4 linked regions of the Caenorhabditis elegans genome follow. The protein of the gene in region 4 purifies or fractionates together with the protein of the main gene of each other region. This does not show direct contact. Each region holds a gene or a part of one and is shown on either strand. Other genes may lie near its edges.

What was found.
Region 1: the proteins of xpg-1 (region 4) and rnr-1 fractionate together in Caenorhabditis elegans (co-fractionation; one large-scale study listed by BioGRID). This does not show direct contact.
Region 2: the proteins of xpg-1 (region 4) and B0395.3 fractionate together in Caenorhabditis elegans (co-fractionation; one large-scale study listed by BioGRID). This does not show direct contact.
Region 3: the proteins of xpg-1 (region 4) and top-3A fractionate together in Caenorhabditis elegans (co-fractionation; one large-scale study listed by BioGRID). This does not show direct contact.

The regions. Positions count from the first base shown.
Region 1 is NC_003281.10:9,224,126-9,231,267, forward strand, and holds rnr-1 (Ribonucleoside-diphosphate reductase large subunit), read right to left. Parts: upstream 4,126-7,142; 5' UTR 4,124-4,125; coding exon 3,998-4,123; intron 3,954-3,997; coding exon 3,675-3,953; intron 3,628-3,674; coding exon 2,897-3,627; intron 2,850-2,896; exon of another isoform or gene 2,725-2,849; intron 2,675-2,724; coding exon 2,024-2,674; intron 1,976-2,023; coding exon 1,396-1,975; 3' UTR 1,250-1,395; downstream 1-1,249. Other genes in the region: T23G5.3 (uncharacterized protein), read right to left, coding at 5,110-5,217, 5,291-5,405, 5,459-5,761, 5,811-5,938, 6,951-7,085. UniProt on the Caenorhabditis elegans protein: Provides the precursors necessary for DNA synthesis. Catalyzes the biosynthesis of deoxyribonucleotides from the corresponding ribonucleotides.
Region 2 is NC_003284.9:16,033,956-16,042,386, forward strand, and holds B0395.3 (Choline/carnitine acyltransferase domain-containing protein), read right to left. Parts: upstream 5,277-8,431; 5' UTR 5,271-5,276; coding exon 5,210-5,270; intron 5,161-5,209; coding exon 5,057-5,160; intron 5,010-5,056; coding exon 4,929-5,009; intron 4,399-4,928; coding exon 4,226-4,398; intron 4,172-4,225; coding exon 4,006-4,171; intron 3,703-4,005; coding exon 3,531-3,702; intron 3,423-3,530; coding exon 3,241-3,422; intron 2,948-3,240; coding exon 2,847-2,947; intron 2,182-2,846; coding exon 1,925-2,181; intron 1,874-1,924; coding exon 1,773-1,873; intron 1,716-1,772; coding exon 1,269-1,715; 3' UTR 1,081-1,268; downstream 1-1,080. Other genes in the region: mboa-1 (O-acyltransferase), read left to right, coding at 592-722.
Region 3 is NC_003281.10:11,955,940-11,962,927, forward strand, and holds the start of top-3A (DNA topoisomerase 3), read right to left. Parts: upstream 4,242-6,988; 5' UTR 4,230-4,241; coding exon 4,086-4,229; intron 2,772-4,085; coding exon 2,611-2,771; intron 1,622-2,610; coding exon 1,493-1,621; intron 1,415-1,492; coding exon 1,233-1,414; intron 156-1,232; coding exon 1-155. Other genes in the region: Y56A3A.28 (C2H2-type domain-containing protein), read right to left, coding at 6,014-6,266. UniProt on the Caenorhabditis elegans protein: Component of the BTR double Holliday Junction dissolution complex, which is involved in homologous recombination during meiotic double strand break in the germline.
Region 4 is NC_003279.8:6,555,947-6,563,615, forward strand, and holds xpg-1 (XPG (Xeroderma Pigmentosum group G) DNA repair gene homolog), read left to right. Parts: upstream 1-2,747; 5' UTR 2,748-2,753; coding exon 2,754-2,841; intron 2,842-2,975; coding exon 2,976-3,214; intron 3,215-3,676; coding exon 3,677-4,003; intron 4,004-4,058; coding exon 4,059-4,142; intron 4,143-4,399; coding exon 4,400-4,835; intron 4,836-4,882; coding exon 4,883-5,356; intron 5,357-5,406; coding exon 5,407-5,567; intron 5,568-5,613; coding exon 5,614-5,745; intron 5,746-5,831; coding exon 5,832-6,353; 3' UTR 6,354-6,400; downstream 6,401-7,669. Other genes in the region: tre-1 (Trehalase), read left to right, coding at 31-123, 745-1,158, 1,342-1,645, 1,690-1,980, 2,239-2,385; tmed-3 (GOLD domain-containing protein), read left to right, coding at 6,761-6,901, 6,954-7,244, 7,410-7,589.

The sequences.
Region 1 (7,142 bases), on a different chromosome or scaffold from region 4:
GCGTTTAAAATCCTTTAAAACCTACAAAAATAGGAGAACTACAGTACTATGGCGGCAAACTATTTGTCAAGCTTTTGCTAAAACGTATAACTAGGTAAGAAATAGTTTATTGCAAATGTTTTCACAGTTTAGGATTTGAAGTTTTACAAATTTCTATTTCCAAATCAAATAAACAATTATAGACAATTCTGTTAAATTTGGTCCTTGTAACGACCATTTCGACGGCGATCGTGGCGAGACCCACTGAGAAAAGCAGTTTGCGCCTTTATTGAGACGTTTAACTTTTTACGAAATTACAATATTAGGAAAGTATTCAGAACTGACTCTTACATTTGTTTTCAGTTTTCTGAAAATAAGTTTCCAAATCTAGTTTTATTTAAAATGAAATCCAACAAAAAACCTATAATAACTGCTCCTCGAGGATCAAGAAACATTTCATGAATGTAAATAATAGTTTTTTCTCTCAAAAAACGAAAAACCAAAGAACTTCATATATTTTGATTCTATAGTGTTGCTTTTCAATCCTTAATCCAATCATCTTAACCTTCTGCTTTTTTGTCACACAAATCATATTTCATCGCATGCAGTCTAGGAAACCAAACATTTCTTTTTTCGAACAAAAAAAACGAGAAAAGGAAGAAATCCGTCTCAAAAGTTCCAAAAAAAAAAGAATCACAAAAGTTCCGACAGAAGCATCATCATCTTCATCATTTCGTGTGTCTCATAGCTTCTCTGAGTGCTCTTCTGAGCCAAAAAAGCCAAACCGAAACAAAGTCATCAATCGTTTTGAAGTCGAAATGAGCAAAAACGGAAAAAGAACCCAAAAAAAGACAAAAGAGACGATGAACAGCTTCCAATGACGAGACAGGGAGGAAACGAGTAGTAGTTTATTTGAAAAAAAGAGCAATGAGCAAAAAAACCAAGAATCAAGCTAATCTCGCTAAGAACCGGGGGCCCATCTGACGAGAGGAGCTCTACGCATAGTTCAATGTTTCTATTCCGGCTCATTGAGCACACGAAAAGAGAATCGAAAGGGCGCATTTGAAATCTGCTCGATTGACGGTTCACTAAACATTACCCACGTACACCTTCAGTCGAGACCCACTTTTGTTGCACCATGATGTTGCTGAGAGAGTATTTAGGAAAAAAACTACTAGAGCATGAGAAGAGGAAAACTTCCGAAGTTTCGGATGTAAACCTAACACGGTTCCACATTTTTCAGCTCCTGCAATTCAAATCGCTCGAGGACTCAGATTGTCAGTTTATTGACCATTAAAACTTTAGAAAAAATGAGTAACCGCGAGCAAAATAGGGTTATCAGTATAACAGATTAAAGTGAAAAAGTGAGCAATTTGGGAATGTACAAACATGATCAACGGGTGAAAGAAAAAATGATTATCCGGAGCACATGAGGCATCCTTCATCTTGCGACTCGGCCACGGTGGCTGGCGTCTCAGCTTGTTGGTTAGTTTTCAGCGCATTCTTATCCACAGTGAATTGAACTGCATTGACAGCTGGCTTGGTACGCAAATAGTACATTCCAGTCTTGAGTCCCTTCTTCCATCCGTAGAAATGCATTGATGTGATACCGGCGTAGCTTGGCTTGGCCATGTGAATGTTAAGAGATTGGGATTGATCAATGTATGCTCCACGATCAGCAGCCATCTCAATAATGTCTTTTTGAGAGATCTCCCACACTGTGCGATAAAGTTCCTTGATGTCGGATGGAATTCCATCAATGTTTTGAATGGATCCATTGTTGGCAATCAGACGATTCTTCATCTCATCAGTCCACAATCCTCTTTCCACCAAATCCTTGAGCATGTGAGGATTCACAATCTGGAAATCTCCAGAAAGAACACGGCGAGAGTAGATGTTCGAAGTGTATGGCTCGATGGATTCATTGTTTCCGAGAATTTGAGCAGTGGAAGCAGTTGGCATTGGAGCCATCAGAAGACTGTTGCGGATACCATGCCTGTAAATAAGTAGTTTAATCAGATTCGAAAGAGTATTTTAATCTTACTTTGCAATTTTCTTGCGAAGAGTGGCCCAATCGCATTGATCGGTTGGAGTGACTCCCCACATATCAAATTGAAGCTGTCCTTTCGATACTGGAGATCCTTCGTATGTCGAGTATGGTCCATTCAACTCAGCCAATTCACAACTGGCTTCCAATGCAGCGTAGTAGATGGTTTCGAAGATTCGTTTGTTGAGATCTCTGGCTTCTGCCGAAGTGAATGGGTAACGCATCAACATGAAGCAATCAGCGAGTCCTTGGACACCAAGCCCGATTGGGCGATGGCGCATATTAGAGTTGCGAGCCTCCTCGACTGGATAGTAGTTGACGTCAATAATCTTATTCAAATTTCTGGTTATAACTTTAGTCACCTCAGCCAGTTTGACGAAGTCGAACTTTTTCTCGGGGGTCACGTAGCGATTGAGAGCAATGGAAGCAAGGTTGCAAACTGCAATCTCATCTGGAGCAGAGTACTCTATGATTTCAGTGCACAAGTTGGAACACTTGATAGTTCCAAGATTTTGCTGGTTAGACTTGCGATTGGCGGCATCTTTGTAGGTGATGTATGGAAGCCCGGTCTCGATTTGGTTGGAAACGATGTGCTCCCAGAGCTTGCGGGCCTTCACCGTTTTGCGGACTCGTCCCTCGGCTTCGTATCTGGAAATTTTGATATGAACTTTGCAAATTTAACTTCACTGTTTAAAAGTTTTTGTTAGTTGATTTTTGTCCGGAGCACACCTTTTTTTTTGAGTATATTCCGGTTATCGATCAACTATTTCATATTCGAAGTTAGTAAACTCAGTCCAAGCAGTACTCTTAAAGTTCTGTCTGGATATCGCACTTCGGTAATTAAAAAAATAAGAACCAGGAGATACTTACTTGGCGTAAAGAGCTTCGAACTCCTCTCCCCAGCAATCATCAAGTCCTGGACATTCACATGGGCACATCAACGACCATTCTTGATCCTTCTCGACTCGCTTCATAAAGAGATCTGGAATCCAAAGAGCAAGGAACAGGTCTCTGGCACGTTCCTCTTCCGGTCCAGTGTTCTTGCGGAGAGATACAAACTCGAAGATATCGGCGTGCCATGGCTCCAGGTAAATAGCAAATGCTCCTGGGCGTTTGTTTCCTCCTTGATCAACATAACGAGCAGTATTATTGTAGACACGAAGCATTGGTATGAGTCCGTTAGATGTTCCATTAGTTCCAGCGATCACAGATCCAGTGGCGCGAATTTTGTGAACATTGAGTCCGATTCCTCCGGCACTTTTTGAAATAAGAGCACACTGCTTCAATGTATCGTAGATTCCGAGAATGGAGTCTTCACTCATTGTCAGAAGGAAGCATGAAGACATCTGAGGACGGCATGTTCCCGAATTGAAGAGAGTTGGGGACGCATGGGTCATGTAACGCTCCGACATCAGATTATAGGTCTCGATTGCGGAAGTAATATCATCTCCATGGATTCCAATAGAAACACGCATCAACATCTGCTGTGGGCGCTCGACAATCTCCTTGTTTATCTTGAGAAGGTAGGAACGCTCCAGTGTTTTGAATCCGAAATAGGTGTAGGAATAGTCACGATCGTAGACGATGGCGGAATTCAGCTTCTGAAATGAAATTTTTTTGAATAAATGCAATTCCTAGGAAAACTAACATCAGCATTCTTCTCAATGATAGCCCAAGTCTCATCACTGATCATTGGTGCGTGTTTTCCGGTATGAGGATGATGGAACTCGTGAAGGGTTTTCATAACTTCCGAGAACACCTTATTCGTTTTCTTGTGCAAGTTCGAAACGGCGATTCGAGCGGCAAGAAGAGCATATTCCGGATGTTGTGTGGTCATGGAAGCAGCAGTCTCTGCAGCAAGATTATCCAACTCAACAGTTGTCACTCCTTTGTACAAGCCACTGATAACTTTGATTGCAACAGCGACCTGGAAAATTTAATTCATCATTGAACTTGTGTTTAATAACAAACCGGATCGACAAAATCCATGTTCAATCCATAGCTCAGCTTCTGAATTCTGGAAGTGATCTTGTCGAAGTGTACATCTTCCTTTCGCCCATCCCGCTTGACAACATAAGTGCTGTTGTAACGTTGCATAACTGGAAAAGATGAATTATTAACAATTTGAGAAGAAAAGAGTGAAAATGGAGGAGCGGAGAGAATTTTCAAATGACCAGTTCATCTCAAATTTACTAGTTTTCGCGCCTAGGTAATAGAGGAACGCGCGAAAACGAGACGCAGACCAAACAAACGCGCTCCATCGGAATTCAAATTCAAAAGGAAAACGAATTATTGAAATCTTGGTCTCATAGAAAAAACAAGTATTACAGTGAAACAGAATACATTATATTTTCCTACGAATTCTGGCTTCAATATGGTTTTCTGATAGAAGTGAGCTAATGTCGAAACACACAAAATTGGCCTAGAAATTCAAACCGAAAATCCACGGTCCTGAGCATTTCTAACTACGGCAGTTTGAAATGAAATATTAATTCACAGCTGAAGAATTTCATTTAAACAAAAAATGTGTTTAGTTTTCTGTGTGAGGAAAAAATCTATTTATACCCTTCGGCACCACAAGCACCGCCTCTAACCATGGCTCCGCCCTTTAGGACAAGTCCGATAATCGCATTTCATTGCTCTGAAATTTAAAAAAAAACGTAAAATTCAAAATAAAACCACATAAAAATGCATAAGATCAGAAGAAACCCCGAAAATAAAAGCTGTAAAACACAATTTTGCCGCGGGTTACTGTAATGGTCTCGACACGAAATATTGTATTTAAAAACTTTATGCGTGCGCCTTTGAAAGAGTACGGTAATTTTTTAAAGAAAAAAACATGTTTCGATGAAATAATATTTATATTCAGTTTTTCCTTAAATTTTCAAACTGCGGACAAAAAAGCGTAGTTTTTTATTTTCTGATGTTTTGTCAGAGATCACTAAAATTTGCTGTCGGTCAATTCAGACAATAAAAAACCACCAGCTGTGATTGCGAATTTTCGAAAATTCGAAAAACGCGTATCTGTTGGCATGCAAGACATGACATAAATAATTTATTTTGACACAGATATATTCAAATGGTTAGTGACGAGATGTTCCATCTCTTGACTGCATTAATCCTCCAGTTATGAGCACTTCCACGCTATGGCTCTCCTCATCCGCATTTTTGTTGACAACATTGTATACCGCCTGAAAATAGATAAATGAATTTTAATTTTATAATTCTATAGATATTCTACTAATTTTCAAGAAAGTTACTCACACTAAGATCAACTGCCTCTGCAGCAGCATCACAGATTTTCCTCACAGTCGGATCATCAGTCATTTTCTTATCAAAAAGTACCGATGCACCATTCCAACCAACATGTGCAATATGTCTGAAAATAAACTTTTGTAAGTAATTAATAGATAAAAGATATCCAAATCTCACGTAAAGTTCCTTGGAAGACTAATCGAATCTGCAGACGTTTTAATTTTTTTGGAATTTCTGCCAGTTGGAGGTTTTCTCATCGGAATTTGTACAGTATCCTTCGGCTGCATCAATGACGGAAGTGGTGGTGGTGGAGGTGGAGGTGGTTTCGAAAGAAGAAGATTACGTGGGACAATCGGAACATTTTCTTTTTGGGTCAAGATTTGGTTCGGTATTGGAGTTGATGGAAGTTCAGGTGGGCAAGTACAAAATGTTCGCAGCTTATGTTCTATCATGTTTCGAAGTGGTCCAATTTTGAAAAATCTATAATGATTTATACTTTTTGCAATATTCTGATTTGTTCCGAACTTACACCGCTTCACGTAAGATTCGCATAAGCTGATATTCGTCTTTTGGCAATGAACATTTCTCATGATCTCTTAGAAAGTTGAGAATAACCGGAAATACTGAAGAATCACGGTCGATGAAGAGTCTACCATCCTGAAATAAGCATTCAAATTTTCCCAATCTACCGTAACCCCCATTCTTGCCTACGTCACAAATTGACGTCACAGGCACCCAACAACCAGTTGGTCATTGCTTTTGAACAGTGCGCTACGTCACACCAGGAGGAGGTCAAGGGAATGGTGTTAGTGGTTGTGGTGTCGGGTGAAAAGTATGGCAACGGGTGGTGGTGGAAAATTATTTGAATGATTCAATGGGCCTGCAGATGTTTGATGACGTAGACATATACGCAGAGTATTTAACACAAGGCATTGGGAATCTTGGGGAAGGTTAGTTGACCAAATGAGGTTTTATTCTATTTAATGGAGTGTTAATATATTTTATAACTGATGTGTTCAGAGCAGTTTATGCGGTTTTTAATTCTAAAAATACGGTACCTGGTCTCGACAAGCGTAAAGGTCTCGACAATACGAAACGAATGTGCGCCTTTAAAGAGTAATGTAATAAAATTACAGTACTTTTTGAAGACGCACACCCTTTTCAATTAAAAAAAATTGCCGCTCCGAGACAAAGTACCGTACTGTTAGCGCAAAATTTAGCATTATGATATTTTTATTGACAGTATATGCTTATTACCCATTCTTGAATTTTTGCGATTTTTGAGGCTTGGATACCGTACCTGGTCTCAAAACTATCGAAACTTTACAGCTACAGTAACCGAAAGTGTTTCACAATTTTCCACGATTTTTTTTGTTTGATAGTAGGCGTTTTCCGGAACAAAATTTGAAGATTTTGTATTAAAAATCATGAATAATCGTAGCAAATTGCGAAGTTCCTGTGAGTACGGTAGCTGCAAAGTTTCGTGTCGAGACCCGGCACCGTATTTTTGCGCCAGTAATCACAAAATTCAACAACATGGCAATAATCATTTGTGTTTGGACATTCTAGGAGGTTAGGGACCTGCAGCAATGCTCTAAAATTCTAAGAAGTTTGGCAATTTACCAAATGCTTTAAACTTTGTAAGTTACAACTTTTTTTTTAGACTTACTCTATCAAGCTGCTCCCTCCAATTAGTTTCGAATAATTTAGTAAAATAAGTTCCTTCTATAGATTTCAAAGTAGCTATCCTTGTCTTAAAATATACACCTTCAACATCAAGCGATATTAATGGTGGAGGTGGCATTAGAGAGAAATTAACCACTTAAAAGGTGCGCGCGAATTCAAAAAGTGGTAGAGGTAT
Region 2 (8,431 bases), on a different chromosome or scaffold from region 4:
TTGTCTGAAAACACTGAATTTCATAATAAAACTTCTCGAAAACTTCTTTTAAAAAAGTTATGACAGCTCAAAAAATTGCCTAAAATTAGTTAAAATTTTAAATTTGGCCGACTTGTCTTGGTTTAAAAAATTAACAATCTCGTCGTCCATCGACTTTAATATATCTTAATCGAGTTGAAAACGTAAGGTAATCAAATTGTATACTCAAAATTTGACGGTGATTTTAAAAAAATTGCTTCCAACGACATTGGCAAGTAGGTCACATTTCAAATTTTAACTAATTTTAGGCAATTTTTTGAGCCGTCATAAGTACTTTTTGAGAAGTTTTCAAGAAGTTTCATTATGAAATTCGGTGTTTTCAAACAATTTTAAGTCTAATAAAGAAATGGAAAAAATTCGACTACACCATCTTTAAGAAAGTAGCTCCCGCAAGAAGTTCCTATGAAAAATGTTATATCTAGTTGTCTGAGTTTTCCAACCATTTACATAATACCACCCACATTTTCGAATTTTCTAAAAAATCAAGTGTTCAATCTAAAAGAACATTGCTTTAGAACATGTTAAAACCACTAAAATACAACCATCTTTCAGGAACCGGAATGTTCATTGCTTTCTACGGCCAAGAATGGTACGCGAGACGTGGACACTGTGCCCCGTACTCCAATGCCGTTGTGGACCTTTTGTTCCCGAGACATTGGAATTGTCACCCACCAACTTCATGAAATCTCTAATTATTTGTCACACGGGGTATTCGTTTTTTTTTTTTGTATTTTGTTGATTTTATTTGAGAATTATTTTTTAAACTGTACAAAAGTTTTGTCACTAGTTTTTACAGAAAAAATAAATATTAGTTACTTGATAGAAGTTGGTTCATTGTAAAATATGCTTATTTGTACCAAAAATCTTTTGATCGGTCTGCTAGATAAATGCACACAATTTTTATGGCAGGAATAGCATATTTTAAACTATCGATTTTAGCAAAACAATTCTGAAATCAATCACATTTTTTCTCTATTTCTTGGCTATCACCCCAATATTAGATGTTTTGTAGATTTATCGTGGATATTTGTGATACACCTCTGACGGAAACGTATTTATTATACAAATTATTTATTCATATAAAATGTTTTCATAAAATATCTACAAGCATTTTCAATCAATTACAATAAAGCAGAAAAAAAAACATTGGGATCTGAACACGTAGGAGCACTAGTTATGGCGTGTGAAATGTTATTCTTTAAAAAAAAGTAGTATCAAAATATGATCTCCTACAACTTGGACATTTCTTTTGTAGCCTTATTAATAACCGATTTCATGTCAATTAGCGCCTTTTGAAGTTCCTTGGCAAACTTCTTGGAACTCGTCGAGCCGTAGCTCTTGAATGTTGAGATCATAAAGTGAAGTTCAGTTTCCTGTGGGTTGTAGCAAATTCCATAGCAATCAAGGGCAGATGGTCCGAAGCACATTTGGATGAAATGCCGTGTGGGAACTTGACTTGTGGAGACTTGGAAATGGTTGAGTTGTTGGTAGATGTTGGAACCGAAGATTTCTGGGGTTGGGAGATTATTTTCAGTAGCGATCAACTTCCATGCCAATAAATGTCTGTCCATTCCAGCTGCATCCATACAATCCATGGTGTACTTTTTATGCGAATTTGTTGCGTGAACAAGTGCATCGTAGATTTCACTAACCGGCGTAGGAGGCTTAGATACCATCTGAAAATTGAGTGAGTTAAATTGGGTGATCGATCTAGGTCACACACAAACACACACCTTCTTGACAAATGATGCTGCAGCTGTATTCGGAGATCGGATGTTCTCGGTTCGACCCTCGGTGAATTTACGCAAAGTGGCCGTCTCGTAGGTTGGTGGAACTGGAAATTTAATTCGTCATCAAATTGTAAGATGGGGGATAATTGACTTACGCGATGAGTGGATCCGGTAGAAAGCTAATTGGTAAGCCATTTGGATGAACGAGTCGGGCGAGATCTTTGAGGATTTCGGGAAATTCTTTCCGTAGGGCTTGAACGTGAACGCGACGATATCAAGGTCCTCGGCGATGCTGTCCATGTTCTTGGAGCTCTTGGCGATTCTTTTGTTGATTTCCTCGTCAGTGGAAATATCGAGACGTTGCACTGGGGAGTTGGAAGGTGTGCCTTCAGTAATGAATGTGTTAGCATCACTGAAAAATTGAAGGAAATATAATAGATATATTATCTTAAATGTTACTAACTGAAGATATCCAAGCTACCAGAATACTTTTTGCAACATTTTAAATAAACTTGTTTGATGAAGCGTAGGATCAGAAATATTTATATTGCTATGGTTAAAGGTGGAGTAGCGCCAGTGGGAATTTGGTCTGAATACACTTATTATGATCCAACACGACAGAATATCATAATAAAACACTCCAAACATTTTTCGATTTTTCATAATTTCCGGCCGAAGTTTTGGCAAACTGCCAATATTTTGAAAAACGACACATGCAATGTTTTAAGACAAATTATTTAAACAGAACTACAGTATAAAAAAATGTAGGAAAAATTTTTTTTTTGGTCGACTTCCAAAATTATATGTGGAAAAACTGAGTAACTGTCACTGTTTGACAGTAAATAAAAAAATTTTAAAAAACTTTTGAAAGGATTTATTATGATATTCGGTCATTTTGGCACCATGTGTAGGAGTAGTTTTTCACAAGTTCCCCACTGGCGCTACTCCACCTAAAGTGCCACAGTTCCGGTTTTTGACCCAACGATAAAACGAAAAAGACAACATTTTAAATTTCTGTTCAAATTCAAGTTTTTCAACAAATTTTTTTGTAATCAGTTATAAATTTCAAAAACTCACAATTGATCACAAATAAAATCCATGAGTGCACCGACTGGTGGTCCTTCGGCTGGAGTGTGCTCATACGTCATTCCGGTGTAGCCATTTGTTCCGATGACAAACTGAAATTTCCAGGTATATTTTTTGCTATTGCAATGCAAATGTGCTCTACTGATCAAATGCAAAAAAATGAGTGCATGAACGATAAACACGTGGTGTAAGAGTGTCTCATGTCGGCTTGATCTACAAAGATCTACAAAAAATGCGGGAGAAGAGACGCAGAGTTCTCAACTGATTTCGTCTGGTTAAGAACGTGTTGACGTATAATTTTTATGGGCAAAAAATTCCCGCATTTTTTGTAGATCAAACCGTAATGGGACAGCCTGACACGCCGTGGATAAACTAAATAACACACCTGAATAGTCTTGTCAAACCATCTGTTGCTCGAGTTCACTTTGGAGCCGCCACCATGCAGTGCCTGCCTACTTTGCTCATCTTTCTCCGTGTAGCCAACTGGTGGTTCACTAGCTTTGTCAAGACAGACTACGAACAACGATTTTTCGACGGCTTCCAGGGATTTCGCGTTGTTGTTATCCTCTGAAAATAGTATTATTATCAGCATAGCTAGCTTCAAAGAAAATCTTCACAATGGAGCTAAGCAAAACTTCTACATTTGGCTTGAAACTTTTTTTCTCGAAAGCTCACTTTTCAGCGATGAGTATACATTTGCCCATTTGTCGCGACTATCGGAGGAGACAATTCCCACTGGATGTGGGTTTGGAGTTTGACTCTCTGAAACGACTTTTGCCAGTTGCTGAGTAATAGCAAAAATTGAGAGTGGCTGCTCGTTGGAGTCTAGGACTTGGACGCGGAAGAGCTGAAAATGTAGGGAGATTTTAACGGTTTTGTTGAAATCTGTTTGCAATATTTTTTTCAACTTCAATTAGATGGAACAACTGAAGTCTTATGGGGTTATTCAAGAAGTGTCGAAAAATTAAAAAGTGTAGAAAAATTAGGTGCAAACTATATTAAAATACATTTTTTGAAAACTTGTATTTTAATACAGTTGTGACGTAATAAATGTATTTAAATACATTTTGCAACATTAATTGAATAACCTCATTAGTCTTTATAAAGAATCAGTGATACAATTTTTAAATAACATTTTTTAAAAACTCACATGTCCATTTCTAATCACTAAAATGTGTTGCAATTTCTCCTTATAGTCACATCCATATCTAATCTCATCTACGCCAACCTTAGGTACCCTAGTTGTTCCAAACAAGAACTGGTACTGGCTCATATCAAGCGGCGACTTTCCTGCCATATCAGGCTTCAACTGATTACTGAAAAAATGTTTTTTGAAAACTAAAAAACATCGAATTGAACCAGAAGCCTACTTTTTTGCTCGAAGGTAAAAGTGGACAGCGGCTTGGCTGATTTTTGCTGCATATTCCAGTTGTCCCTCCTCGGTGTTATAGTCAAATTTAGGGAACATGACTCCTGGAGATGTGACGACTGGAAGTGGGGTACGAGCAGCTAGGTAGGCGATGTTGAGCCACCATGGTGTGAGCTGAAAATCTTTTGTTTGAATCGGTAAAAAAACGCCAACTTGCTCAATTTTAAGATAGTTAGTTTTTAGATATATTATAAAACCATGTGTTAAATTTGGAAATCTATTTTTATGGCGCTGGCCCTGTCACTTTTTCAGCAACATTTTGATTTCATTTTGATGTTTTCAATTTATAGGCTGGCGGATTATTTTGTGGACCAATTTCCAAGAAATTGTTTGTTTTGCAAAGAAAAAATTATTTAATATAAACGCCCAACATTATGCCTAATACCTGATAGGTATTACTTATGCCGTTAAATATTTTCAAAATATTGTAAAGTTTTCTAGTATCAAACTTTTTAAAATTAGGTTTAGGGTACACTTAAAGGTGTCATTGGTTTGCAGTAAAGCTAAACCTATAAAGTTAATTGATACATTTCTATTTTTTTGGTCCAAACTGAAAATTAACTACTCCTAATCATAAATGGGGAAGTTGTTTTGAATTTATTTTTCTAATTATTTTTTTTAGAAAAAAGTGTTAAAAATCTTACCCAATTCGGAAGTGCGTCGGCTCGTTTCTGCAGCAGTTCTTGCAATTTCGGCAAATCCTTAACCACAAAATCATTTACAATCTGAAATTGACATTTGTTTTGCTCCAAATGTTTTTTTTTATTTTTACCTGTTTTGTCTCTTGAAATTCCTTTTTTGACTGCAACGCTTGTGCAAAGTCCAGGAAGTGTTTCAGCGTTTTAATTGGTTGTGGAGCCGGGAGTTTTGGTAGGTCTGAAACGTCATCAATGTATTTACAATCGAAAAAAAGGTTTAGTCTCACCTGTTGAATTATAACGGGCTGCACCGTGACCTCCGGCCATTGCGTTGACACTGTGCTTCATTAGTTGCTGCAAAATGAATTTTGAATGCTCAAAATTTTGAGGGAACAGGTAATCCCTCACAAAACGCTGCGAAAAGTTACTATAGTGATAAGTGAAAGACGTTTTGTGGGGGAAGACCCGGGTGGGGGAATGTTATCAATGATCATTCAGACTACACTACGCCGTAGTCCAAATTTTATATGGTCATTTTGGTCAGCATTTAATATTTTTGGGGAGAAACTCACGGAGATCTGTGGTCGAATCATTGTTTGACATTTCAGCATTTTTTCGACGGGTTTTGTTACTCAAATTGATGAATATAATGTAAGCTTGTATGAAAGAAAGAGAATGTAAAAGGGAATGCACCATGTTGGTTCAATGCAATTTTTTTTTAATTTAGCGTAAATAATAGAAGAGTGATCTGTTAACCAAAAAAATTTGTTGTATGTTAATTGAAAATTGTTTTGAAAAATTTTCAAAAAATAAATGAAGTCTCACAAAAAAATTCGTTTTTTTTTTGGCATCTGGCAATTTTATAACAACTTTTTGCATTTTCTCACATGTTTAAATTTAAATAATTTTTTTTTAATATTTTGGAACTAAATTTTAGTTAAAGAATAGCGCCTGTGGGGATTTGATCTACATACACTTGTCAAAAACAACCGAATATCATAATAGAACACTCAAAAAAATTTAAAAATTTAAAATTTTTCATAATTTCAAATTGCCAAAACTTTAAAAAATATGAGCAATGTCATATGTTCCAACCCTTACAATGTTTTAATACGATCAATTAAAACAAAATTAAAGTAAAAAAAATATAAGAAAACATTTTTTTTGGTCGACTTTTAAAATTATGAGTGGCAAAACTGAGTAATTGTCACTTTTTGACAGTAAATAAAAAAATTTCAAAATTTTTTTTGAAAAGTTTTATTTTTTTTATTCGGTCATTTTTAGCACTATGTGAGTAGTTTTCAAAAATATCTATACTATATCTTTATTTTTCTTTGGAAAATTTAAAACTTAAAAAACATTTTTAAAAAGTAACAAAACAAAAAAAATAATTTGTTGATTTTCAGAGTGTAAAAGTGTTCCAAATGTTTGGGGCGTAAGATCAAAGTGTTTAGAAAACGAGTGACGGCGGGTGAATGGCAGGGGTCATATGGGAAGAGAGGAGTGTGTGTGTGTGTGTGTGTGTGTGGTGATGTAGGGGGCACAAACAGAAAGACCAGGCGGAACGCAGAAAACACAGGCAGCGAAAACAGAAGAAACCGAGTAGTTGTGTTGTGTCCAAAGAGTGGGGGGGGGGGGGGGAGGAAATGGAGGCAAGTTAAGTTCTCTCCTACCACACAAAAACCCCGCGTGGTATCCACAAAGAGGCCGAGAAATGGAGGAAGAAAACAACGATGTGTAGCCAAATGGTGTGAGTTAATGAGAAGAGGTCATTGGATTTGGATGGCAGCCAGTAATTGGATTGTGTAGTGAAAGTGTTAATTTTTCTGTTTGACATTTTTTAAGACACAACTTATGGAAATTACAAGTTGAACCAAACGTTTTAATATTATTTCAGAAAACTAATGGAGTTTCATTATTAAAACTTTTTTTTTCAATTTCTGATGAAACAAATTTTAAAAAAATCGCCTAAGCATAAATATTTGCAATTTGCTTCTCAAATTCATAATTAGCGGAAATATAATGTTATTCGAATGTTTCCCCATCATTGTTTTTATTCCAAATAAAAAATTTTAGCAACATTTTGTCTTTGGAGTATTTTTTTTTTAAATTGAATACTTTTTGAAAGCAACTTGGATCCCCGAAAATTTGGAAATCTATCAATTGCAACTTTTTTTCTTTTTTTAAACACTTTTCTAATAGTTTTTTTTAGGAATTCGGCTATAACTTATATAAAAAACTAAACTTGGGCAAAAGTTGGGCAAGACTTTTTGGCAAAACTTGGATTTAGGTGACATCAAAATTTAACCCAAATTTCACCCAGCTCTTGCCAAACTTCTACAGAAGATTGAAACGAAACACAAAAAGTTTGGGCCAAAGTTTAGCAAGAGTTGGGAGAAACTTGGGTTAAACTTTGATGGCCCGAATCCCAGTATTGCCAAAGTCTTGGTCATCTTTTGCCCAAGTTTATCAAACTTCGGATCAAAGTTAATGTTTTTTGGGCCAAACTTGGACATGAATCTCGAGCCAAATGCCGAGTTTATTGAACAAGGATTAATAATTAATTTAATTTCAAAAGTTTGTCGAAGCTTTCCACTAAGAACAATTAACAATTTTTCTATATTTTTACACCAGAAAAAAATCTACATCTCAACGCAAACCTTTTCATATTTCCCGATTAAAGCATTCACATGGAAATTTATGGAAAAAAACGGAAGCCTGACATACATACATCTTGGAGCACCGAAAAGCCCAAAAATTGGGGGACGCCGGGTTCCATTCGTTTTGTGACGGACAAAAAAAAGAAGAGCGGAGAGACAAAATGAATGCAATTTTTCGCCTTGCAAGGTTTCATTCTAAGAGAACGTTTCATCTTTTCCTTCTATTTGAAGTCGTTTGGAGAAGTAATTAAAAGTGCAACAATTGAAGATATCAGCAAGATAAGATACTGGGCTAAAACAATATGTAAACAACTAGATTCTAAAAACGTGTTGTTTGATTGAAACGAAAAAATAAAGCAGCAGCTAAAAATCCAAAGTGGGCAAGCAAAAAGGGCAAAGTCACATAATATCAACTACTTGATAATAAGTCTACAAAGTAGCCTGCTACAAATGGTCATCAACACTATAGAGATAACAGAGAGGAGAACAACAAACAAAACGTGGGCATAGGAGCAAGTGAGTGTGCATTGATACTTAAAATCGCGGAGAAAAAAGGAAAAAATAGAGCTTTGAAATTTTAATAAATATTAATATATCAAGGGAAAAGTAATGAAGGGGAGAAACCATATTCAGTTTTAAACCTGTGAATTGTCGGTTGCTTTTTTTTTTGTTAATCAATTTGTCTATTTTTTAAACGTCTCATCTCTCATTATTTTCGTACACATATCAATTAAAATGATACCAAAATCAGCATATAAAAAGCGGAGTGAACGCGGAGTACCGTTCAAAATTGGGAAATATTAAGCGTCATTTTCTACCGATCGTTGCTGCTCCGACAACTTGGCAAAA
Region 3 (6,988 bases), on a different chromosome or scaffold from region 4:
CCATAGAAATTCGACTTTATGGCTCTCCCGGGTGTGCTCCACGATCAGCTTCCAGAATGGTTCGGACACAAAGTTCTCAATCATTTTATAACGATCTGTGACAAAGCCGAGTGTTGGGAATTGACAGGAGCCATAGCTGATCACTTGGGATGTGTCTGAAAAAATTATTTAAATTTGGGAAATTTGCAAAATTTTCAGAAAAAGTTTTGGCAAATTTCCAAACTTTTCAAGGGAAAAAAATTTAAAATTTTTGATAAATTGCCAAAAATTTTAGTAAAAAAATTGGTAAATTTCCAAATTTTTCTAGAAAAATACCAAATTTTGTGGTAAGTTGCCAATTTTTTTTTGTAATTTGCTAAAATTTCCCTACGGAAATTTCCCCTGAAATGGAAGAGTTTTTGCCGAACTAGGCCAGGCCATATCTGGGGTAGATTTACGGCGCGCGTTGCGTGTCGCGTCGCGGCTCGATTGTAAAACTAAATGCATTTGTCCGTGTGAAGTACACGCCTTTCCGTGATTTTCACGGGGTTCTGGTCTTCCTTATTGCATTTTCCGCGCTCCATTGACAATCGCCTGCCGGACTCCACACGGACAAATACATTTAGTTTTACAATCGAGCCGCGACGCGACACGCAACGCGCGCCGTAAATCTACCCCAGATATGGCCTGGCCTAGTTCGGCAAAAACTCTTCCATTTCAAGTCATGGGAAGCCAGAAATCCGTGAAAAAAATTTTTAGTAGAAAAACGGGAAATTTTCAAATTATTCTAGAAAAATACCAAATTTTTTTTTGTGTACTTTGCTAAAATTTTCCGCCGAAATTTTGGTAAATTGCCAAATATTCTGGTAAATTAATAAAAAAATTTAAATTTTCCGCCAAAAATCCAATTTTCATAAAATTGGGAACTTTGTTTGATAAATTCCCAAATTTTTAATAAATCACATTTTTTTCTGGTATATTTTAATTAAAAAAAAAAAAAATTTTATAGAAAATTGGCAAATTTCCGGCAAATTGGCAAATTTTACCCCAGAAAATTGGTAAATTGGGCAAGTTTTTGGAATCGCCAAAATTTTGGAAACTGTCAAATTTTAATGTATATTTTCAATTTTTTCTGCAATATTTTTTTTTTTTGGAAAACCTCCAAACTTTCAGTAAATTGCCCAAATTTTGGTATTTTTCCAAACTTTTTTTTCAAAAATTATTTTTTTTTGCAAATTTCCCAATTTCTCTACCATTTTGCCCCAGTAAATCTCTGAATCGATTCCTTAAATGCAACGTCTGTAGTCTTGTAAAAGCGGATCCAATTCGAAGATCCAATTCACTTCGACAATCAACTGCGGCAACGGTCTTCTCGTCGAGTCGGATGAGATTCCGAGCTGCTCGTGTGATGGCTGCTTTTGTGATTTCGGAGAATCTATAATAAAATTTGGGAATTTTATATTTTGCGCGTCAAATATGTTGTGTAGTACGCATTCTCAGAGTTTTGTGTTACCTCGCTCTGAAAATATCCAGCCGCCGGTTGCTATCTCTGCAAACTTTAACAATTTCAGCGCCAATTGCTTCACCTTCTCGATCGCAATCTGTCCAGACTACCAGGATATCGTGTCGTTGGGCTTGTTCTCTGAAAAGTTCCAAAAATTTCTATAAAGAACCTATATGCTTGCCTGCCTACACGCCTACATCATGCCCATCTACATCGATACCTTAAGCTTACTATTCGTTTGCCAGAACGCCCACGGTATGCTTGCCTACCTCCGCGTCTACACGCCTACTCTATGCTTGCCTGCCTACGCACTTATCTCATACCTACCTACGCGCCTACTCAATGCTTGCCTACCTAGCCACCTACTTCATGTCTACCTACAAAAATACCTTAAGCTTCCTATACGTTCGCCTTTAAGCCCACCGTATGCTTGCCTGCCTACGCGCCTTCCTCATGCCTACCTACGCGCCTGCGCGCCTACTCAATGTTTGCCTGCCTAGATGCCTACCTACATGTATACCTTCAGGTATACCTTAAGCTTCCTATAAGTTTGCCTGCACGCCTACTATATGCTTGCCTGCCTAGACGCCTACATCATGCCTACCTACGCGCCTACACCATGCCTACCTACGCACCTACACGCCTACTCTATGCCTGCCTGCCTAGACGCCTATCTACATGTATAAATTTTCGCCTACACGCCTACTTCATGCCTACCTACGCACCTACACGCCTAATCTATGACTGCCTACGCGCCTACTCCACGCTTGCCTACACGCCTACTTCATGCCTACCTACGCGCCTACACGCCTACTCCACGCTTGCCTGCCTAGACGCCTACATCATGCCCACCTACATCAATACCTTAATCTTAGTATACGTTCGCCTATACGCCCACCGTATGCTTGCCTACCTACGCGCCTACTCGCCTACTCCACGCTTACCTGCCTACACGCCTACCTCCTGCCTACCTACGCGCCTTTTCGCCAACCTACAAGTAATAGATACATTTCTCATGCCTACCTACCTGCCTACAAGCTCACCTTATGGCTACCTACGCGCCTACGCGCCAACAAAAGACTGCCTACTTTATGCCTGCCTTCCCCCCCCCCCCCGTAAAATTTAACCTTAATGTCTGCTCGATGAGCTTCATCTCTGGTGTGACAACATGCCGAACCGGAGCTCGAAACAACTCGACCATCGACGCCGTTTGCCAATTCGACATATTCTCGTGAAATTGGAAATTCATCATATGTCCCGAAACACTTGTCACCGAAATTGCGGTTTGCTGCAAAAATAGGATTTTTCTTGCTTAGAAATACTCAAACTAGTCTCGAATTCCGTATAAATCACAAAAAAACCGAAAAAAAATAGCGAAAAATTGAAAAATCCAACTTTTTGAACCTGCGACCAATCAGCGCGATTCGCTCCGCCCACTTTCCAACCAATCAGATGGAGTGGGCGGGGTTTGGTGGATTTTTCTTTATATAAGACTATTTTTGGATATTTCAAACACCTCCTAACCCCGCCCACTACCCCTGATTGGTTGAAAAGTGGGCGGAGCGAATCGCTGATTGGTCGCGGTTTTTATTTTCCGAAAATTGATAAAAATAGTGATTTTTTTGCTTAGAAATACTCAAAATAGTCTTAAATTCCGTATAAATCACAAAAAAACCGAAAAAAATAGCGAAAAATTGAAAAATCCAACTTTTTGAACCTGCGACCAATCAGCGCGATTCGCTCCGCCCACTTTCCAACCAATCAGATGGAGTGGGCGGGGTTTGGTGGATTTTTCTTTATATAAGACTATTTTTGGATATTTCAAACACCTCCTAACCCCGCCCACTACCCCTGATTGGTTGAAAAGTGGGCGGAGCGAATCGCTGATTGGTCGCGGTTTTTATTTTCCGAAAATTGATAAAAATAGTGATTTTTTGCTTAGAAATACTCAAACTAGTCTCGAATTCCGTATAAATCACAAAAAAACCGAAAAAAAATAGCGAAAAATTTAAAAATCCAACTTTTTGAACCTGCGACCAATCAGCGCGATTCGCTCCGCCCACTTTCCAACCAATCAGATGGAGTGGGCGGGGTTTGGTGGATTTTTCTTTATATAAGACTATTTTTGGATATTTCAAACACCTCCTAACCCCGCCCACTACCCCTGATTGGTTGAAAAGTGGGCGGAGCGAATCGCTGATTGGTCGCGGTTTTTATTTTCCGAAAATTGATAAAAATAGTGATTTTTTGCTTAGAAATACTCAAACTAGTCTCGAATTCCGTATAAATCACAAAAAAACCGAAAAAAAATAGCGAAAAATTTAAAAATCCAACTTTTTGAACCTGCGACCAATCAGCGCGATTCGCTCCGCCCACTTTCCAACCAACCAGATGGAGTGGGCGGCGTTTGGTGAATTAAGACTATTATTTTGGGTATTTCAAACACCTCCTAACCCCGCCCACTTCACCTGATTGGTTGAAAAGTGGGCGGAGCAAATCGCTGATTGGTCGCAGTTCTTATTTACCGAAAATTGATTAAATAGTGATTTTTTGCGGATTTTAGACTATTTTGGGTATTTCAGAGCCAAATGACTGCTGGTACCTGTCCAAAAAGCTCGGTATTCAACGTGTAAATCTTGTTAAACTTGCTCCGCCCCTCTCGTCGATTCGCTGTTCCATTTGATAAAATCGCAGCGACTCCCTTTGCCACGTCATTCTTCTCGGCCACAAATAAGGCTCTTTTCATTGGGAATTTGAGCTTAAAATTATGTTTTTTTTTCAGTTTTAAAAAATGAGAGAGAGCGTTGAGAGCGTTCACAAAAAGTTAAAAAAATTTTTTTTTTTCAACATTTCAAAAAAAAAATTTTTTATTGAAAATTTGAGATTTTTTCCAAAAATGTTTTATTAAGTATTTCGACATTACAAAACACTTTCAGAAAAAAACTTTTTTTTTTCTGAAAGTATTAATTAATTTTTTAAAACGTTTTGTGCTCATTTGCAAATGATATTTTGTGTATTTCCCCTATTTGTAAAAATGCTCTTCCAAAAAAATTTAAAAAAATTTTTTTTTGAAAAATAATCAAAAAAATTTCAAAATTTTTTGAGAAAATTTAAAATATTTTTAATTTTGTTGGATTTGTTAATATGGTTATTTTTAGGTTTGGAAGTGGTTTAAATTTTAGGAAAAAAATTAACTTTTGAACAACAAAAAATATTAAAAAAAAAAACATTTCGAAAAAAATTCAAAAAAAAATTCCAATAAAAAAATTATTTTTTTTTAAAATTTCTAATGATTGTATAATAATTTCTTCAAAATTTGATTCGAAAAAAATCACAATTTTTTCTCCTAAAAAATTTCAAAAAAAAAATTTTTTTCCAAAAATCTTTTTAAAAAATCAAATAAATCTGGTGTAAAGACCTGAAACAAAAACTTGCAAAACATATAAAAATTATTTTTCATAAAAATTGAAATTTATTCACAATTGCGGTAAAAAAAGCAGAGAATTATCATTAAAAAATGACATTTGTATGAGGTGATTACGGTGAAATGATATTACATGTACGAGAGGGGTGGGGGTTTTCAGGGAAAAATGTGAACAATTCGAAAAAAAAAAATAGAATGTGATTACTTTTGCATGTCGGCTCAAGTAGGTCGATTGCACCATGTTTTTTCCAATATTTTTCTTCATTGGTTTAGTCGAAATTGCCTGAAAACACCGAATTTCAGAATGAAACTTCTTGGAAAATTCTCAAAAAAAAAAGTTATGGCGGCTCAAAAATGACTTAGTTGAAATTTGAAATTTGAGCGGCTGGAAACTAACTTTTTTGAAATCACCGTCTAATTTTGGGAAACATTTTGGAAATTTAACTTTAAATTTGGCAATTTACCAAATACTTGAAAGTTTTTCAAAAAAATTGGCAATTGAGCAAAAAAAAAACATTGACTGAAAAGTTATGCAATTTTCTAAAAATTGGTATATTTTCAATTGTTTTTGCCAATTTTTCAAAAAAAAAACATTGACTGAAAAATTGGGCATTTTATCAAAAAATTGGCATATTTTCAATTTTTGTGGCAATTTTTCAACAAAAAAAAACTGGCGATATTCCAAAAAATGTGGCAAATTACCACAAAATTTGGCTATTCACTTGATTCTTTGACTTGGAAATTTTCGAAATTTACCAAAACTTCTACTAAAAATTTTGCGAATTGATAACCATTTAAATGTACCTAAATCGAGTTGAAAACGCAAGATAATTAACTTGTATAGCCAAAATTAGACGGTGATTTTTCAAAAAAGTTAGTTTCCAAGACGGTCAAATTTCAAATTTTAACTAATTTAGGGTCATTTTTTGAACCGTCATAACTTTTTTTTTGAGAAGTTTTCAAAAAGTTTCACTATGAAATTCGTTGTTTTCAGACAGTTTCGAGTCTAATAACAAAGTATGGAAAATCATGTGAATAATCTGAAAATAATAATGATTTCAGAAAAAATATTTTTTAAAAAATCAAATGGTGCAATGTGACATTTTTCATTCATAAACTTCTTCTTCTTCATCATCTTCGTCTCCAATTGGAGCTTCCTCTATAATCTCTTCCTCTTCTTCTACATAAGGCTCATTTGAAGTGGATGCGGCGGCAGCCGATATATAAGTATGATCTTCTCGAAGTTGCCGTCGGCGTGTCGCCGCGACGGATACTCGAACGGATTTCTCGTTTACAGTGTACTTCATTGTTGTCGGTATCGATTCGACTTGGTCTTCGGGGTGATATCGAGGAATTGTTCTGAAAAAAATGGTTTTTCGAAAAAAAATTTATAAACCTTTATAGGCCAATTTTGATTTTTTTAGGCCAATTTTTTTATTCAGGCCAATTTGGAATTTTTCAGGTCTATTTTGATTTCTTTAAGGCTAATATTGATTTTAAAGCCAATTTTGATTTTATAGGTCAATTTAATTTTTTTAGGCCAATTTTGTTTTTTAAGGCCAATTTGAAATTTTAAAGCCAATTTTGATTTTTCTGGCCAACTTGCGATTTTTAAGCCAATTTTGATTTTTTTAGGCCAATTTTTTTATTTAGGCCAATTTGGAATTTTTCAGGCCACTGAGGTTTTTAGACCAATTTTGAAATTTTTAAAGCCAATTTTTTTATTTAGGCCAATTTGGAATTTTTCAGGCCACTGAGGTTTTTAGACCAATTTTGAAATTTTTAAAGCCAATTTAGATATTTTTAGGCCAATTTCGATGTTATAGGCCAATTTTGTTTTTTAAGGCCAATTTGAAATTTTAAAGCCAATTTGGATTTTTTAAGGCCAATTTGGAATTTTTAAGGCCAATTTAGATTTTTGGGCCAATTTTAATTTTTTAGGCCAATTTGGAATTTTTAAGCGAAATTTGATTTTATAGGCCAACTGGATTTTATTGGCCAATTTAGTTTTTTAAAGGATAATTTGAAATTTTTAAGCCAATTTGAATTTTTTTTTAGTCAATTTTGATTTTATAGGCCAA
Region 4 (7,669 bases):
CAGTGAATATAAAATATCGAATTATTTCAGGGATACTTTCTGGATACTCAAAGGGCTTCTCTTCTCAGAAATGTATGAAACAGCTCGAGGAGTTATCAAAAATCTAGGATATATGGTTGATAAGTGAGTTTTAGATTTCATATCCAAATTTGGAACATGATGCTGAACAGCTTCCGCGAATAATTATTTCCAATTTCCTTAATTTAGAAGATTTATTCACAGCTCAAAACCAAAAAGGAACTGTTTTTTTATTTAGAAAAAAGATTACGGAGACATCGTTACTCTTCAAAAATCCCTATCATTTTGACACTAGCATTAGTATGATAAGAATTGATTGATGGACTCATACTTTTTTCGAATTGACATGCGCCCATCATGTGACCTATTAAGTAAAGAATGTTCGTTTTTTGATTCGTATTAGGGAGTGGTGCTGGTGTCCTCGGTACAAAAGTAGGAAATTGGTAGGCTGCACATATCTGAACAAATATCGATGGAAATTAGACAATTTTTTATATTTGGGAATTTATTATGGAAGCGAAAATGTAGGTGAAACACCATAAATATTTGAAAGAAATGAGAAATTAAAAAAAAAAGAATTGAATAAAAATCAAGGCGCTAGTTTTTTTGGTGCAAAAAAGGAGGATAGATAACTGTTCGAATGTTTATTCTTTCAGTGGTAAAATGATCTACTGAATTGGCCACTAGAATAAAGTTCTCCAATTTGATAATAAAGATTAATTTCAGTCACGGTTTCGTACCAAATGGAGGTCGTGTCTATTATCTAACACGTTCCCAACCACCTCTATTGACACCGATGGTCTACGAATATTACATGAGCACAGGAGATTTGGATTTTGTAATGGAAATTCTTCCAACCCTTGACAAAGAATACGAGTTTTGGATTAAAAATCGACAGGAATGGTTCAAAGACAAAGATGGTGTCAAGCAGTTTCCATATTATCAATATAAGGCTAAACTCAAAGTACCGAGACCAGAATCATATCGTGAGGATTCGGAATTAGCAGAGCATCTGCAAACTGAAGCGGAGAAAATTCAAATGTGGAGTGAGATAGCGTCGGCTGCCGAGACGGGATGGGATTTCTCCACTCGATGGTTTTCTCAAAATGGAGATACAATGCATCGAATGGATTCTATAAGGTATCGAGGGTGTTGGTTTTTTGGTTAAAAAAAAATCTTTTTTTGTTAATTTTCTATACTTTTTTTTCCGATTTTTTGGTTTTCTGGATTAATCGAAAAAGAAAACAGAGAATTTCTGTGACATGCTGTCTTTACAAATTCAAAAATTACAGTTCCGAGGTTTTAATTCTAAATCAAATTCAGAACGTGGAGCATTATCCCAGCCGATTTAAACGCTTTCATGTGTGCAAATGCTCGAATTCTGGCGAGTCTTTATGAAATTGCTGGTGATTTCAAAAAAGTGAAAGTATTTGAACAACGATACACTTGGGCAAAACGGGAAATGCGTGAATTACATTGGAATGAAACAGATGGTATTTGGTATGATTATGATATCGAATTGAAAACTCATTCAAATCAATATTATGTATCAAATGCTGTTCCTTTGTATGCAAAATGTTATGATGATGATGATGATATTCCACATCGTGTTCATGATTATTTAGAGGTTAGTGTCACTCTAAAAAAAACGTATATATTGGGAATTTTCAGCGCCAAGGACTATTGAAATACACAAAAGGTCTTCCAACATCTCTTGCAATGAGTAGTACGCAGCAATGGGATAAGGAAAACGCATGGCCTCCAATGATTCATATGGTTATCGAAGGATTCCGTACAACTGGTGACATAAAACTGATGAAAGTTGCTGAAAAGATGGCAACGTCATGGCTTACTGGAACATATCAGTCATTTATCAGAACTCATGCTATGTTTGAAAAGTATAATGTTACTCCACATACTGAAGAAACTTCTGGAGGAGGTGGAGGAGAATATGAAGTTCAAGTGAGTATTTAAAGATGTAATTCCGAAATTCCACAAATGGAAAAAAAAATAATCAGAAAAATTGAAAAGTTTTTTTTCAAAAAGCGATTTCTCAATTTTGACTGAATTTTTGTTTGTTTTTTTCAAAAGTTAGATGATTCTTCTTTTTTTCTTTTCGTATTCCTAAATTTTGAACTATTCTGGATATTTTCAAGCAAAATCCCACTGAGAAAATAATGTAAATTAACAGAAAAAATTGGAAAAAAAAATCATTTCCAGACTGGCTTTGGTTGGACAAATGGCGTTATTTTGGATTTATTGGACAAATACGGAGATCAATTTGCATCCAGCTCTACAGCTTCCAAATTCAGTTTTTCCCTTTCGAATATCACATTTGTAGTTTTTATTTTGTATATTTTCTCATAGATTCCTGTAGAATTTGCACCTGATTTTATTATTTTCTGTTGTGTATAGTCCAGTTCCCTCATTTAGATCTTTTTTAACTAAAGAATCAAAAACATTGCCATAGCGATTGCCTTAATTTTTTTGTTTTAAATATCAAACTCACATTTTGCTTTTTCTCATCCGGTCCAACCCCCCATTTTCAGATTATAACGATTGTTTTCTTTCGGGTTCTTTTTTTCCTTATTTTCAAAAAACCTTTTTTAGTTCATAAAATTTTTACTTATACCAGTTCCTTATACCAGTATATATTGGTTTTTATGTCACGCAATTCTAATGTAATATATTTGATTTATCATCAAATTTCCCAATTATAGAAATTAATTCAAGATATGGGAATCACTGGATTATGGAAAATTGTAGAACCAACGGCAACAGAGATTCCTTTGGAATGTTTAGAAGGAAAAAAATTGGCAATTGGTAAGCTAAAAAACAAATTCAAAACTATGTAAAATTGTTTTATTTCGTATATTTAAGTTTTCATGTATTGGGGTACTGTACTTTTCACTTTTATTCTGACATTACATGTTTTGTAATTTTTATCATTTTTTCAGATGTTTCAATTTGGATCTATCAGGCTCAACTCGCATATCCATCGGATCAACCGTTTCCACATCTGCGTCTCCTTGTAAATCGTCTCTCTAAACTTTTATTCTACAAAATTCGTCCTGTTTTCGTGTTTGATGGACCACAAGTACCACCTCTCAAACGTCAAGTCTTAGAAGCGAGACGGCAAAAAAGACAGAATGATGATGATATTCTTAAGAATTCGAAGAAAATGGGAAAATTAAAGGTGCTGAAAAAATCTCAAAAAATTAGGGTAAAATTAATTTATTTAGAACTTCATGAATTTTTCAGACAGCGAAAAAATAACAAAATTTTTCCATCAAAAACATGACGAAAAACAACGAAAAAGCTCTGTTCATGAAGCAAGAATACGGCGCACGGTCTCGAAACAACCGAAAATTTTCTTTGAAAAATACTCCGAAAATGGTTATGCGCCTTTAAGTAGTACTGTAGCTCCCGTTTCCTATTTTTTGCAATTAAATTTTTGGTTGTTAAAAGACAAACTAGATTTTTTTTGTTTTTTAAAAGAGCAAAAAAATGAGCACACTCTTCACGATCTTCATTAAAATATATCGATTCGTTTCAAGACCCGGCTCTATATTCTCGCATCAATTTTTTTGAAGTTTTTAACTGTTTAAAAAGTTTTAAATTATTTCCAAATTCTTTTGTTAAACCAATCAATTTTCAGGAAATTGCCAGTGGTGGTCTTGATGACGTGGCACTTGCGAATGCAATCAAAGAAGTTATAAGTCCATCGAAAAAAGTAATTCTGAACGACATTTATAAGGATATTCCCTCAACAAGCACATATTTGGATAAACCTTCTGCACATCAAAATGATCAGCTTGTTTATGGAAATATTGAAGATTCAGATTCAGATGATAGTGATATTATTATTGTACCTACTGTAAAAGAAGAACGAATTTCGAAACAATTTACTTCTCGGAAACTGGAAATTCAAAGTCTCGTGGAAAAAAGAGAGATCATGAGAAATAGCAGATTACGGCCTGATATGGTTGGATTTTATCTTTTAAAAAAGTGTTTTTACAATAAGCTAAAACGATTTTCAGATTCCACAAGATTCGAAAAGTTTCAGCAATTTTCAAATGCAGCGTCTACTCAGAAGAGGTCGTCTGAATGCAGAAATTGAACAAGTAACTTTATTGAATTACATAATTTGCTACTTATAAAAATGTATAAACTGAAGTCATAATCCGTTCAATTTTCTTTGATTTTTCCACATTTTTAAGAAGTTTTTTTATTTATGAAGAAAAAAACTCTGAAACACATTAAAACTTTAGAAAAAAACATTTTTTAAAAGTGGGTTACTGTAGTTCTTGAAGCGGATATTTACGGTTTCCGAAAAGTTTTTAGTGAAAAATCGCTTTAAATCCACATTCTATAATTTCAGTTAGCCAAGTCTACAACAACCTCCACAGGTGGATACTCTTCTGATAAAATCAACGTAACTGGACCAGATGGAACTTCTCACATTTTAAAATATGCACATAGTGATGAGATTCAAGAAGTTCGCCCAGAATTAAAACGAGATATCGATAGTCTTTATCAAGAACCTTTATCAATGACACTTGACTTTTTCAATGTAGAATATGGTGGAAAGAAATTAAGCAGAGAAGTGACACCTGATGATGTACGAGAAGAGATTGTTGACAGATTAGAGGAACGTTTAATTGACAAGAAAGAAAGAGGATATCAGAGTAAATCGGGAATGTTGGAAGCAATTGCGAGAAAAAGAATTCGACAACATTATGGTACTGAAACTGTAGAAGATAAGAAAGAGGAAGAAAAAAGAAAAAAGGAACAGAGAATAGAAGATGATATGATTGGTAAAACATTTAAAATATAAACAAAACTTGTTTTATTATTTTTTTAGAAGTCAGCGACGATGAGATGGTTCTTCAAGAAGTTCTACTTGAAACAGCTGCAAAATCATTGGATAAGAGAATGGCTAGCTTGGAGAAACACAAGGTTCCAAGTGAAGATGAGGAGATTGAATGGGATCCTCAACGATACGATAAGCCATCAACATCTTCTGCTCCTGCTCTCATGGAAGATTATATTCATTTGAACTATAGTGATGAGGATGATAAGACGCCTGAATTATATCGTGATCTTCAAGAATTTCTTACAAATGCAGGCATTCCGTGGATCGAATCGCCTGGTGAAGCGGAAGCTCAATGTGTTGAGCTGGAGAGACTTGGATTAGTTGATGGTGTCGTTAGTGATGATAGTGATGTGTGGGCGTTTGGAGCACAACATGTATATCGTCATATGTTTTCTAAGAATCGGAGAGTACAACGATATGGAGAGCAGACAACAGCGAATAGAGATAATTGCAAACTTTTTTGTAAGATTTATGGCAAACATTAGAATATTTCCTGAATTCTAAAAATCTAGGTCTCCAACGTGAGGACTACATTTCAATTGCTCTGCTCTCTGGGGGTGATTATTGTGCAGGACTTGTAAAAGTTGGAGCCATTGGTGCACTTGAACTGGTGTCCGAGTATGTTGAATGTAGGATTGATAATACAAATGATCTTAAAGTCATTGAGAACAGGGTAAGATAATTACACATGTGATGGAGTCCCTTATGAAAAGTTTCAGATCATGAGGCTCCTTAAAAACGTGGAAAGTTTGTTCTTAACTGCTCCGGATGATAAACGAGTTGCTAGTCGAAATGCAATGATGTTGAGAAGACATGTAACTGAAGCAAACGATATGGAGAATATCAAATGTGTACTTATTTTTAGATTTTTGAAAACAAAACAACATACTGAAACTCATGTTTCTCTTAAATTCCTAATAGTTCAATTCAATTTCAGGTGTGCTCTAATCAAGACGCTGTGCATGCCTACCTTCATCCCATCGTTGATTCATCATCAGAAAAACTTCGATGGCGCCAGATGAATATTCCATTGATCCGTCGAATTCTTCATCAACGCCTTCAATGGCCTGATCGCAAACAGCACAACGAAGAGCAGAATTCATTTGACGCTTTCGAAAAATGGAATAATTTTCTAAAATCCGGTGGACAAAGCCAAATGCGATTAGACCGATTTTTCGCACAGAAATTGGATAGTTCTCTCGAACTAAAATGGTCGAAAAAAATTGTCGAGGCGCTGGACAAAATTGGACAACGTGTAGCGGGAACTATGAAAAACAATGAAATGTCAAAAGAAAAGAAAGTTGATAAACAAATCAAGAAGAGCAAAACAGCTGTGAAACGTGTAACTCGTGCCAGAGGAATAGGTCGCGGGAAAGGAGGAGCACTTCTTGTACCAGCTAATAGTAAACTGAATCTATCTGAGGAAAGCAGTTCTAATGATTCTTTTGATGAATTTTAGTTTTTAGCTAATTTATCTATTGAAAATAAATAAAAATGTTGCATTTTACACCAATTTCTTTTATTACGTTGAAGTTATTCTGTCAATTTGTGAATATTTTATTGATATTAATATTTAATACAAAATAATGAATTTAGCCTTCTCTTACAATTGAGCACAAAATGTGCAATGTTCTAATGTGTTCTATTTTATGTTCTATTTATAATATATTTATTGTATAATTAAATATAAATATTGTGCGCTGCAAGTGCGCCCCTTTGAACTAGTGTTCTGTTGGCATTTTCCATGCGTCGAATTTCTCTCCTTTTCACGTTTTCTCTCTATTAATAGAATAATTATAATTTTGTATTGCTTCTTATCCAATTCGAATAAATTTGTAAAAATATTTCAACTTTTCAGCCAAGATCATGCTCAAATTTGTCATAGTTTCATCAATTCTTGTGGCCCTAGGTCTGTCAATCGAATTGACATTCGAACTTCCAGACAACGCAAATCAGTGTTTTTATGAAGATCTGAAAAAGGATGTTGACACAGTGTTTGAATTCCAAGTTAGTATTTCAATTGAAAATCGTAGAAACTGTAATAATTTGATAATTTCAGGTTGTTACTGGAGGCCATTATGACGTAGACTTGATCATTGAGGATCCAAATGGAAAAGTTTTGTATAAAGATACTAAAAAGCAGTACGACAGTATCAACTTCAAGGCCGAAGTTGAAGGAACATACAAAGCATGCTTTTCAAATGAATTCTCCACATTCTCTCATAAAATCGTTTACATGGATTGGCAATTCGGTGATCAAAATGCTCTTCATGCTGCCGTTACTCAAGGAGCTCATGCAATGACTCAATTAGAAAATTATGCAGTCGCTATTGGAGATAAATTGAGAACAGTAAGATTTTTATTTAAAAAGATTTATTTTTACAATTAGAAAATGCTCAAAACGTAACTTTTTCGAATTTTATGAATTCGTTCATTTTTCCAACTCTATTTTGCTGGGAGCTTACTAAAAAAGTTGTTCACCCGACATTTGACATACTTATAAACTTTTTTGTAGATTGATGACTATCAAACTCATCATCGTCTCCGTGAAGCAACTGGTCGCAAACGTGCAGAAGAACTCAACGAGCGCGTGATGATCTGGTCCCTTGGTCAATCTGCCGTCGTAGTATTCATTGGAATTGGCCAAGTTTTCCTGCTCAAATCATTTTTCAATGATAAAAGAACTCGTTATTAATTTTTTCACACCATTGCTCTTTTTTTTGTAATTAGCAGCCTTCTCATTTTAATGGGTCCCGTCAGTTGTTTTGCCCCTTT